Linked DNA regions of Macaca fascicularis. The protein of the gene in region 1 binds, or shares a complex with, the protein of each later gene. Links are inferred from orthologs where the notes say so. Each region holds a gene or a part of one and is shown on either strand. Other genes may lie near its edges. The genes, in order: CTNNA1 and CDH26.

Region 1 (3,816 bases):
TACTCCTCACATAGATAGAAGCAGAGGCTCTTCATCATAAGCCTCACCTCTTTCTGTCTAGCTGAGTGATTCAGGGAGGGTCAGGGGAATGATGCTGCCTGCATACCAGGACATCTGCTGTGCCCCTTTCTCCACAGTCATGCCACGTTTTACTGAGCAAGTAGAGGCGGCCGTGGAAGCCCTCAGCTCGGACCCTGCCCAGCCAATGGATGAGAATGAGTTTATCGATGCCTCCCGCCTGGTATATGATGGTATCCGGGACATCAGGAAAGCAGTGCTGATGATAAGGGTGAGTAACTGCATTTCAGACTTAACAGCTTCTTTCTTATCATTTGCTAAACTTGAGCAATGCGTCATTCTAGAACTCGGCAGATGCGGTAGCAGTATATTAAAACCATGAATCTAAAATCTGTTAGAATGAGATATATTTAATTATGTTGTCTAAAATGACTGTTAGTTGCAAGTTAGAGCCCAAACTTGGGCCAAGAAGAGGAGCTAGCCTGAGTTGACGATTTAATTTAGGATAAACAGTCTCTACAACATGAGGCTTCAGTTTGAGTTAGGCAGGAAATTATAGAAAATAATGGTTCTCAAGCTAGTATCAGAGAAGGAAGTCTTTTCGTAATGCAGATTCAAGTTACTGTTCACATGGAGTGCCCCTCTCTTCGGAGAGGCTGCAGGCAGACAGGATGATGGAACCCCAGGGTGTTGCGGGGAGAAGTGGCCCCAGGTGATGCTCCTAGGCTCATGGCCAAGTGCTGAACCCCTTTCCCCATAGCCAGAATGCCTGGAGGGCCTGTAGCAAGGGCAGAGGAGAAACGGGCCTCTGCGGCATCTGTGGTTGAGCTCCCGGCTTACCGTCCTGCTCTCTGACACTATTCCTGTCTTCATTCAAGAATTATCCTTCCAGCCCCTGGGCATCTCAGTTTCTTGATGTCTTGTCCTCCTCCACCTCAGCCTCGTGGCCATAGCCGTACCTCAGCTTTTGTCACTGCCTGCCATTGTCTTTGTCATTCCCAGCAGCCCGGTTCTATTGTTGAGGTTGCGCCCTTGAGTCCTGCAACTCCCAGCGAGCCTTTTGAGTCCACTGTGGGGTCTTCAGTCAGTTGGTCCTCCCTGTTTGACACTCACTCAGCCCCTTGTGTCCTTGGTTCAGTCTTTTTTCAGCTTTGAGTCCATAGTTGAATATTCTCACTCCTCTGCCCAGCTGTTTCCTTACACTTGCCTTGCAAGGTGCAGTCTTAGCAAGATCCTGCTCTCCTGAGCACAGTGCAGATGGCCACAGCCACGCCGACGGAGCCGCAGAAGCCGCGGCCATTTGTGGGCCCTTGCTGCCCTGCAACAGGTGCCCGTCCACCCACCCACACCTGTGCCCCTGTGCTATTTGGCCCTCTTGCCGATTTCATTGAGGATACTGAGGCAGTTAGTACGGCCACCCCGCTGCATCCATGCCTGTGTGCTCTGCCTTCCTCCTAGGACTATGGGCATTGCTGTTGGTGCTTCTGGCTGAGGCCGTCCCTTGCATGTCCTTGTACTGGGGTCCCAGCTTCTTCACCCCCTGCCTTCTGTACCTTTCCCCAAGCCTATGATGATTTCTCCCATTTTTAAGGGGGAAAAAATCTCTTGACCCACACCCCTACTCAGTCTCCTTGGCTGGTTTCTCCCCATCTCCTCAGCCTGTGAAACATGGGTGTGGCCTGCTGGGAAGTCCTTGGCCTCTTCAGAGTCCTGTCTAGAGGCCGACTCTCCTAAGTTCCACACTTGCCTGTGCACCTTGCCTCCTCCCTCTCACTTGCTCCACCCAGGCAGCACATGTTGATAGTGACTCCGTCTTCCCTTGCTCATGCGCAGACCTCGGATCTTTTATTTCCCTTTTGTCCCATACCCCACATCCGCTTTATCTGTGAATTCTTTTGGCTCTCCCTTCACAGTAGAGAACCTGAACATGTTCTCACCCTCGTCCAAGCCGCCAGCACCTCTCACCCGGGTTCATGCAGGTGCCACTCAGCTGGTTCCCCGTTCCAATCCTGGGTGCCTACAGTCTCATGAGCCACAGGGCAGCCAGAGCGATTTCTCTAAGCTTCAGTCAGATCATGCTATCCTCTGTGCCATCCTCTCTACAGGCAGCCACGTCATTCTTTATGCTGGCCTACAAGGCTTTCTAGGACTAGAACCTGTCACTTCTCCAACCTCATCTCCTGCTGATCTCCCCTTGTGCTCATGGGGTTCCAGGCAAGCCGGTGACATAGGGGCAGTGAGCTAAGCCCCCCTTCTGTGGCCTCCTTGCTATTCACGCAGTTCCCTGGGCCAACGCCCCTTCCCCACAGCCTCAATGCTGCCGCCCGCCCCGCCTACCCCTCGAGAGCACCTTCTCATCAGACTTTTCCTAACACCCGCATGGAGTTAAAACCTCGCTTTATTCCTCTCTGCTTTCTTTATACACTGGCCACTTTTGATGTGTCATATAATTCATTTGCTTACTTTGTTGCCATTTCTTCCATTAGAATAGGCATGAGAGGAATTTTTATCTGTCTGTCACTTTGTATCTCTAGGGCCCAGAATGCTTGGCAGAGAGAGAATGAATGAATGAATGAATGAATGAGAGTACTCGGTTTTCTTGGCAAGAACGGTTCTTGGGTCTGCGATGGGGTCCTGGGAAGGCAGAGATGATGTTAGGAGGTGGTCCTTTGAAAAGCCCCTTAACTGATTGCATGCCAGTCCCGAAGGCATGTGTGACTGCAGTGTTAAAACCGTCAGTGCTGGCATTGTGTTTTGTGTCACCAAGTCCGTCGGCCTCCAGGACCTCACGCGGACATGCTGTCTGGTGCCACCTGAGTGAGCATCCACTCCTTACCTCATCAAGGGACAGGCCCAGCCTTTGCGCAGCACGCTCTTGGTGGCTCCGGAATGTTTCTTGCATATCTTCTTGTTTGAACCTCACAGCAAGTCCTTGGGCTGCGCTTGGACTAGATCCTGGTACAGATGAGGGACTCGCCTCACTGCCCTCCTGTCACAGGCCAGCCGGCTGGGCCGAGCGCCAACCCCAGCTGTTCTGCCTGCTGCCCCCTTACTGATAACTGCCAGAGGACAACATTATGTTTCAAGTCAGTAGCTAATCATGAGAGGCTGGTAGTTGGTACAAAATAAGAATTTTATTTCATAATTAAAGCAAAGAGCTAGGACGAGTAATCAGTCCCTTGGGTATTTACTCAGCCCTTACCTGTCATATTCTCCCTTCTTTTCTTTTGATGAAAGTCAAAAGAATACTTTAAAATTGCCTATTTTTACTCCTCCAAGCAGCCTTGGTACCCTAACAGAAGGCTCAGTTATTTAATTTTCTTTTTGTCATAAAGTAGGAAAGTTAAACAAATCTGCTTAATACTATACAAAACACCTCTATTTTTAAGTCAGTACCTTTTCTATCCAGGACAGTTCTCATCTTTGTCTTTAAAATACAGGTGTTGGGGAAGTAAATTAGGAAGTAAAAACCTTATGTCGCCGGGCACGGTGGTTCACGCCTGTAATCCCACCCAGCATTTTGGGAGCCCAAGGCAGGGGTGGATCACCTGAGGTCAGAAGTTCAAGAGCAGCCTGGCCAGCATGGTGGAATCCCGTCTCTACTAAAAATACAAAAATTAGCCGGACGTGGTGGCGTGTTGCCTCTAATCCCAGCCACTCGGAGGCTGAGGCAGGTGAATCACTTGAACCCGGGAGATGGAGGTTGCATTGATTCCAAGATCACGCCACTGCACTCCAGCCTGGGTGACAGAGCGAGACTCTGTCTCAAAGGAAAAAAAACAACCTTATGTCTTATAA
Region 2 (3,816 bases), on another chromosome or scaffold:
GAAAAGATACAGATGAAAATCAGACAAGGAAAGAGGCACCTAGGGCAGAGTTCAGAAAAGCACCAATGTCAGAGCTTCTCATCATCCTCTCCTGAGAAGCCAGGTCAGCATCAGTGAGGGACAGCACACATGGGATGCTGCAGTCAGGGACGTTCACCTGAGCCTCAGGCTCCAGTGTCCTCCTGGGGCTTGGTCAGGCAACCTGGTGGGCCTCCCAGGTGGGTGGCCTCAGTCTCCAACCTCTCTGGTAGTCGACTGACACTATGTGACTAGAAGTCCCCAATCTAAATCACATTGCCCCTGTCTGGCTCAGCTCAAGACACCCAGGTAAAGAGATACCGGTATCAGACATGATATCCCAATAGAGATCACCCAGACCCCAAGGACAAAGACCAGACCTCTCTTTGGGCAAGGTGAAGTTCTTTACCATACACTCCAGGTCTGAGCTGAAACCGTGCCACAGTCTACAGATGCCATGGCTAGAGGCACAGAGGAGAGTGTTGACAGAGGGTGCCAGTTGCTTTTAACCTGCTCAGCAGGTTCATCTTCTGATAACAGTGCCCCAGTGTTTCTTTAGGGAAGCCCACACTTCCCAAATTCTCAGTATGAATCAGGAGAGGCTGAGCCCAGATCCCAACAAGGTCCAGGTGTGGGCTGGGAACCAGTCCATCAGCACGTCTGCCCTCCTAAGTCCCACCTACAGTGATTGACAGGGCAGCTGACCCAGGTCAAACTGTGACATCAATCCTGGAGCTTCCTGGGAAACACCCTTCTTGCCAGATGTTAGGATATGTCTCAGGGACTCCCAGCAGCCTCCTACCCCCTGATGAGGAGAGGTTCCTAAAAGTGAAGGAACCCAGAGAAAAGCAGACCGTGTGTGGGAAGGTGGCTTCCAGGGATATCCTTTGAGCACCTAGAGCCAGCTCTGCCAGAACAGACTTCTCTGGCTTTTTAAGCTAATAAAGTCCTTTTTTGCCTAAAACTGTTTCAATTGGATGTCTGTCATTTTCCACTCTTTGCCCGTGACCAGTACAAAAACTCACCCCAATTTTTCCCCAACTTCCATGTGTCCTCTGCGTTTCGCAGGGTGTTGTCCAATTCAAATGTAAATGGATCAGAGAAGGGCTCCAGGTCCGGATCCTCTGCCTCGATGTGGAGGGGCTGATGCACGGCAGACTCACAGACCTCCATGTAGCGGGAATGTGGCCGGAGAGTCGGGGCGTTGTCATTGATGTCAGACAGGAAGAGCATTAGGGTCCCTGTAGCAGTCTGCGGGGGGAAGCCTTGTACGGGGAGGAAGTTTCAGGAGTTGGTTATCTCGTGCACACAGAGCCCTGGAGAAGGAGCACTCTCCGTCTCTCAGAAAACAAATATTCCTGAAATACTAGAACTGTTTCCCTTTCAAATCATAACTCTCCTGGCATGCATGTGATGATCTATTTTCCTGCTTTTATGAACATTCAGAATATCTGGGTAAGGTAAGCTAATAAAGCACTTACCACCTCAAATCATTTGTAGAACAAGGTAGAATGTGGCATCATTAAACAAACAAAAGGTCGATCAATGGTGCCAGGCGTTAAGGATGGGTGGGGTGGAGGAAAATGGGTGTGACTAAAGAAGGGCCCCATGGGGGTCCCTGAGGAGAGGCAAATGCGCTGCATCTCTGCGTTGATGTCCTGGTTACGAGATTACACTGTAGTCCTGCAAGGTGTTGCCCCTGGGGGAGACTGGCAAAGGATACGCAGGATCCACTAGATTATTTCTTAAAACTGCAAGTGAATCTACAATTATCTAAAAGGACTTTTTCTAATTTAAAAAGTGGCAATCATCAATTCACAACTGCAAATATATGGAGCCAACCTAAGTGCCCATTGACCAATGAGTGGATAAAGACAATGTGGCATATGTATACTATGGAATACTACTCAGCCATAAAAAAGAATGAAATAATGTTTTTTTGCAGCAACTTGGATAGAGCTGGATGCCATTCTTCTAAGTGAATAACTCAGGAATAGAAAACCAAATACTGTATGTTCTCACTTGTAAGTGAGAGCTAAGCGAGTGATATAAGGAACTCTGGAGACTCAGAAGCAGGGGAGGAGGGAGCCAAGGGATAAGAAACCTCACACTGGATACAAAGTACACTACTCAGGTGACGAGTGCACTAAAATCTTAGACTTCACCACTGCATAATTCATCTACGTAACCAAAAACCACTTGTACCCCAAAAGCTTTTGAAATACGAAAAGCAAAAAATAAACAGAAAAAAAAAAGAGTACCCATTATAAAATCATCCATAACAGAATGAGGGAGCCCTGAAACACTGCCCCACTTTTTCTCCTCCCTTAATACTGATTAGGAATCCGTGTTTCCTATCTGCATTGCCCCCCACCCCCAATATTCCGCTAGTTAATTACAGAGTGGAACGTACAGCGACATATCACTTGGAGCTTGGGTTTTAGTTCACAGACTTTCTTAAATACAGTGTTAAAGTTATTTGAACATTTTTATTTCTTCAACTTTGTTTTGGTGTGTTTAAAGATTCAGCCTTAGGAGAGCGTAGAGAAAAGTGCTGAAACATGCTCATAAAACCTCCCATCCTGGTTGATGACAAATGTGTCCCTTACTGTCCCATTTACCTGAGCTCGTACGCCATCCCAAGCACAGGGAAGCTGTGCTAAATATCACACACCATCGGCTTTGACAAAGAGCTAAAGAGTTAGCTCATGAACAAATGAAAAAGATATTGGGTTTGATTGCAGCCTCCTTGCTGATTTAATTGTCTCTTCTGAATGAATACTGCCCTCTTTCGATGGTATTGGTCCCTTGTTTACCATTTCGAGAATTACTACCAAAAATAATCACCAGCATGGATGCAGAGTGATAACAAGGTTTATTTTATCCTTTTCTCAGCTGTGCTGAAAGACTCTCACCAGGATTACTTTCCCGCAGGAAGCAAGAATGAGCATTTTATTTTTCCAATTTTGGGTAAACACTCACCATCATCAACAGCGTGAACGATGATTATATAAAAACTGTCATTGACATGAGGGGATTCTCGGTCAATTGGCTCCACGGTGGTGACCACTCCGGAGTTTTCATCTACGCTGACCCAGTTTGCTGGGTCATGAACCCGTTTATATCTTGTAGAAGGAAAACGGATGGCAATTTTTAAAATTAAAAACTTACATCAAAAGATGTAAAAAGTTACATGAAAAAAACAAAATATGTCATAGAAACACTATTTCTACCACAAGTAATTTGAGAAATTCTAAGAGAAATTAAACTATGAGAGTGTTAAATTCACAAACGGAATGGAGGCGCGGGGAGGACAGCCTAAAGACGCTCCTAAGTCTGTGGAATCGACATTCACCGGAACACCAACTGTCCCCCTCCTTGTTGGACTGAACATGGTTTTGTCTGCCTTAGGGAAATGTTTCATCCTGGAAAGGAACCCATCTTCAGTTGCCTGTAGATGATGGTAGCTTAGTGTGAAAAACCAAACTGCCCTTGCAACAGAAGCCTAGGACTTTACCCCCGGTGTGTTCCCTTTGCAGAAGAGCCCCAGCGGTTCACAGGTGGGTAACCCTGTTCCTCAAAGTGGTCTTCTACATCCCCGTCACCTCTGTGAACCTGACACCGCTTTAAGGGGTGGGCCATGCCAAACCCTCCAGGATTCCTAAGAGCTGTCAGCCATCGTATGGCATCCTTTGCAACCTTACCAGGTTGCCAACCACAGCTACCTGCTGCGGCCCCACAGCAGGAACATCCTGGACTCAGGCAAACAACAACAACAAAAAGTACAGGTCCCAGAAA

What was found.
Region 2: CTNNA1 (region 1) and CDH26 share a complex: the UniProt entries of both Homo sapiens proteins name them as parts of the cadherin:catenin adhesion complex. The link is inferred for Macaca fascicularis from reciprocal best matches to the Homo sapiens genes CTNNA1 and CDH26.

The regions. Positions count from the first base shown.
Region 1 is NC_088380.1:145,425,383-145,429,198, forward strand, and holds part of CTNNA1 (catenin alpha-1), read left to right. Parts: intron 1-137; coding exon 138-289; intron 290-3,816. UniProt on the Homo sapiens protein: Associates with the cytoplasmic domain of a variety of cadherins. The association of catenins to cadherins produces a complex which is linked to the actin filament network, and which seems to be of primary importance for cadherins cell-adhesion properties.
Region 2 is NC_088384.1:116,045,625-116,049,440, reverse strand, and holds part of CDH26 (cadherin-like protein 26), read right to left. Parts: intron 3,144-3,816; coding exon 3,001-3,143; intron 1,284-3,000; coding exon 1,044-1,283; intron 1-1,043. UniProt on the Homo sapiens protein: Cadherins are calcium-dependent cell adhesion proteins. They preferentially interact with themselves in a homophilic manner in connecting cells; cadherins may thus contribute to the sorting of heterogeneous cell types.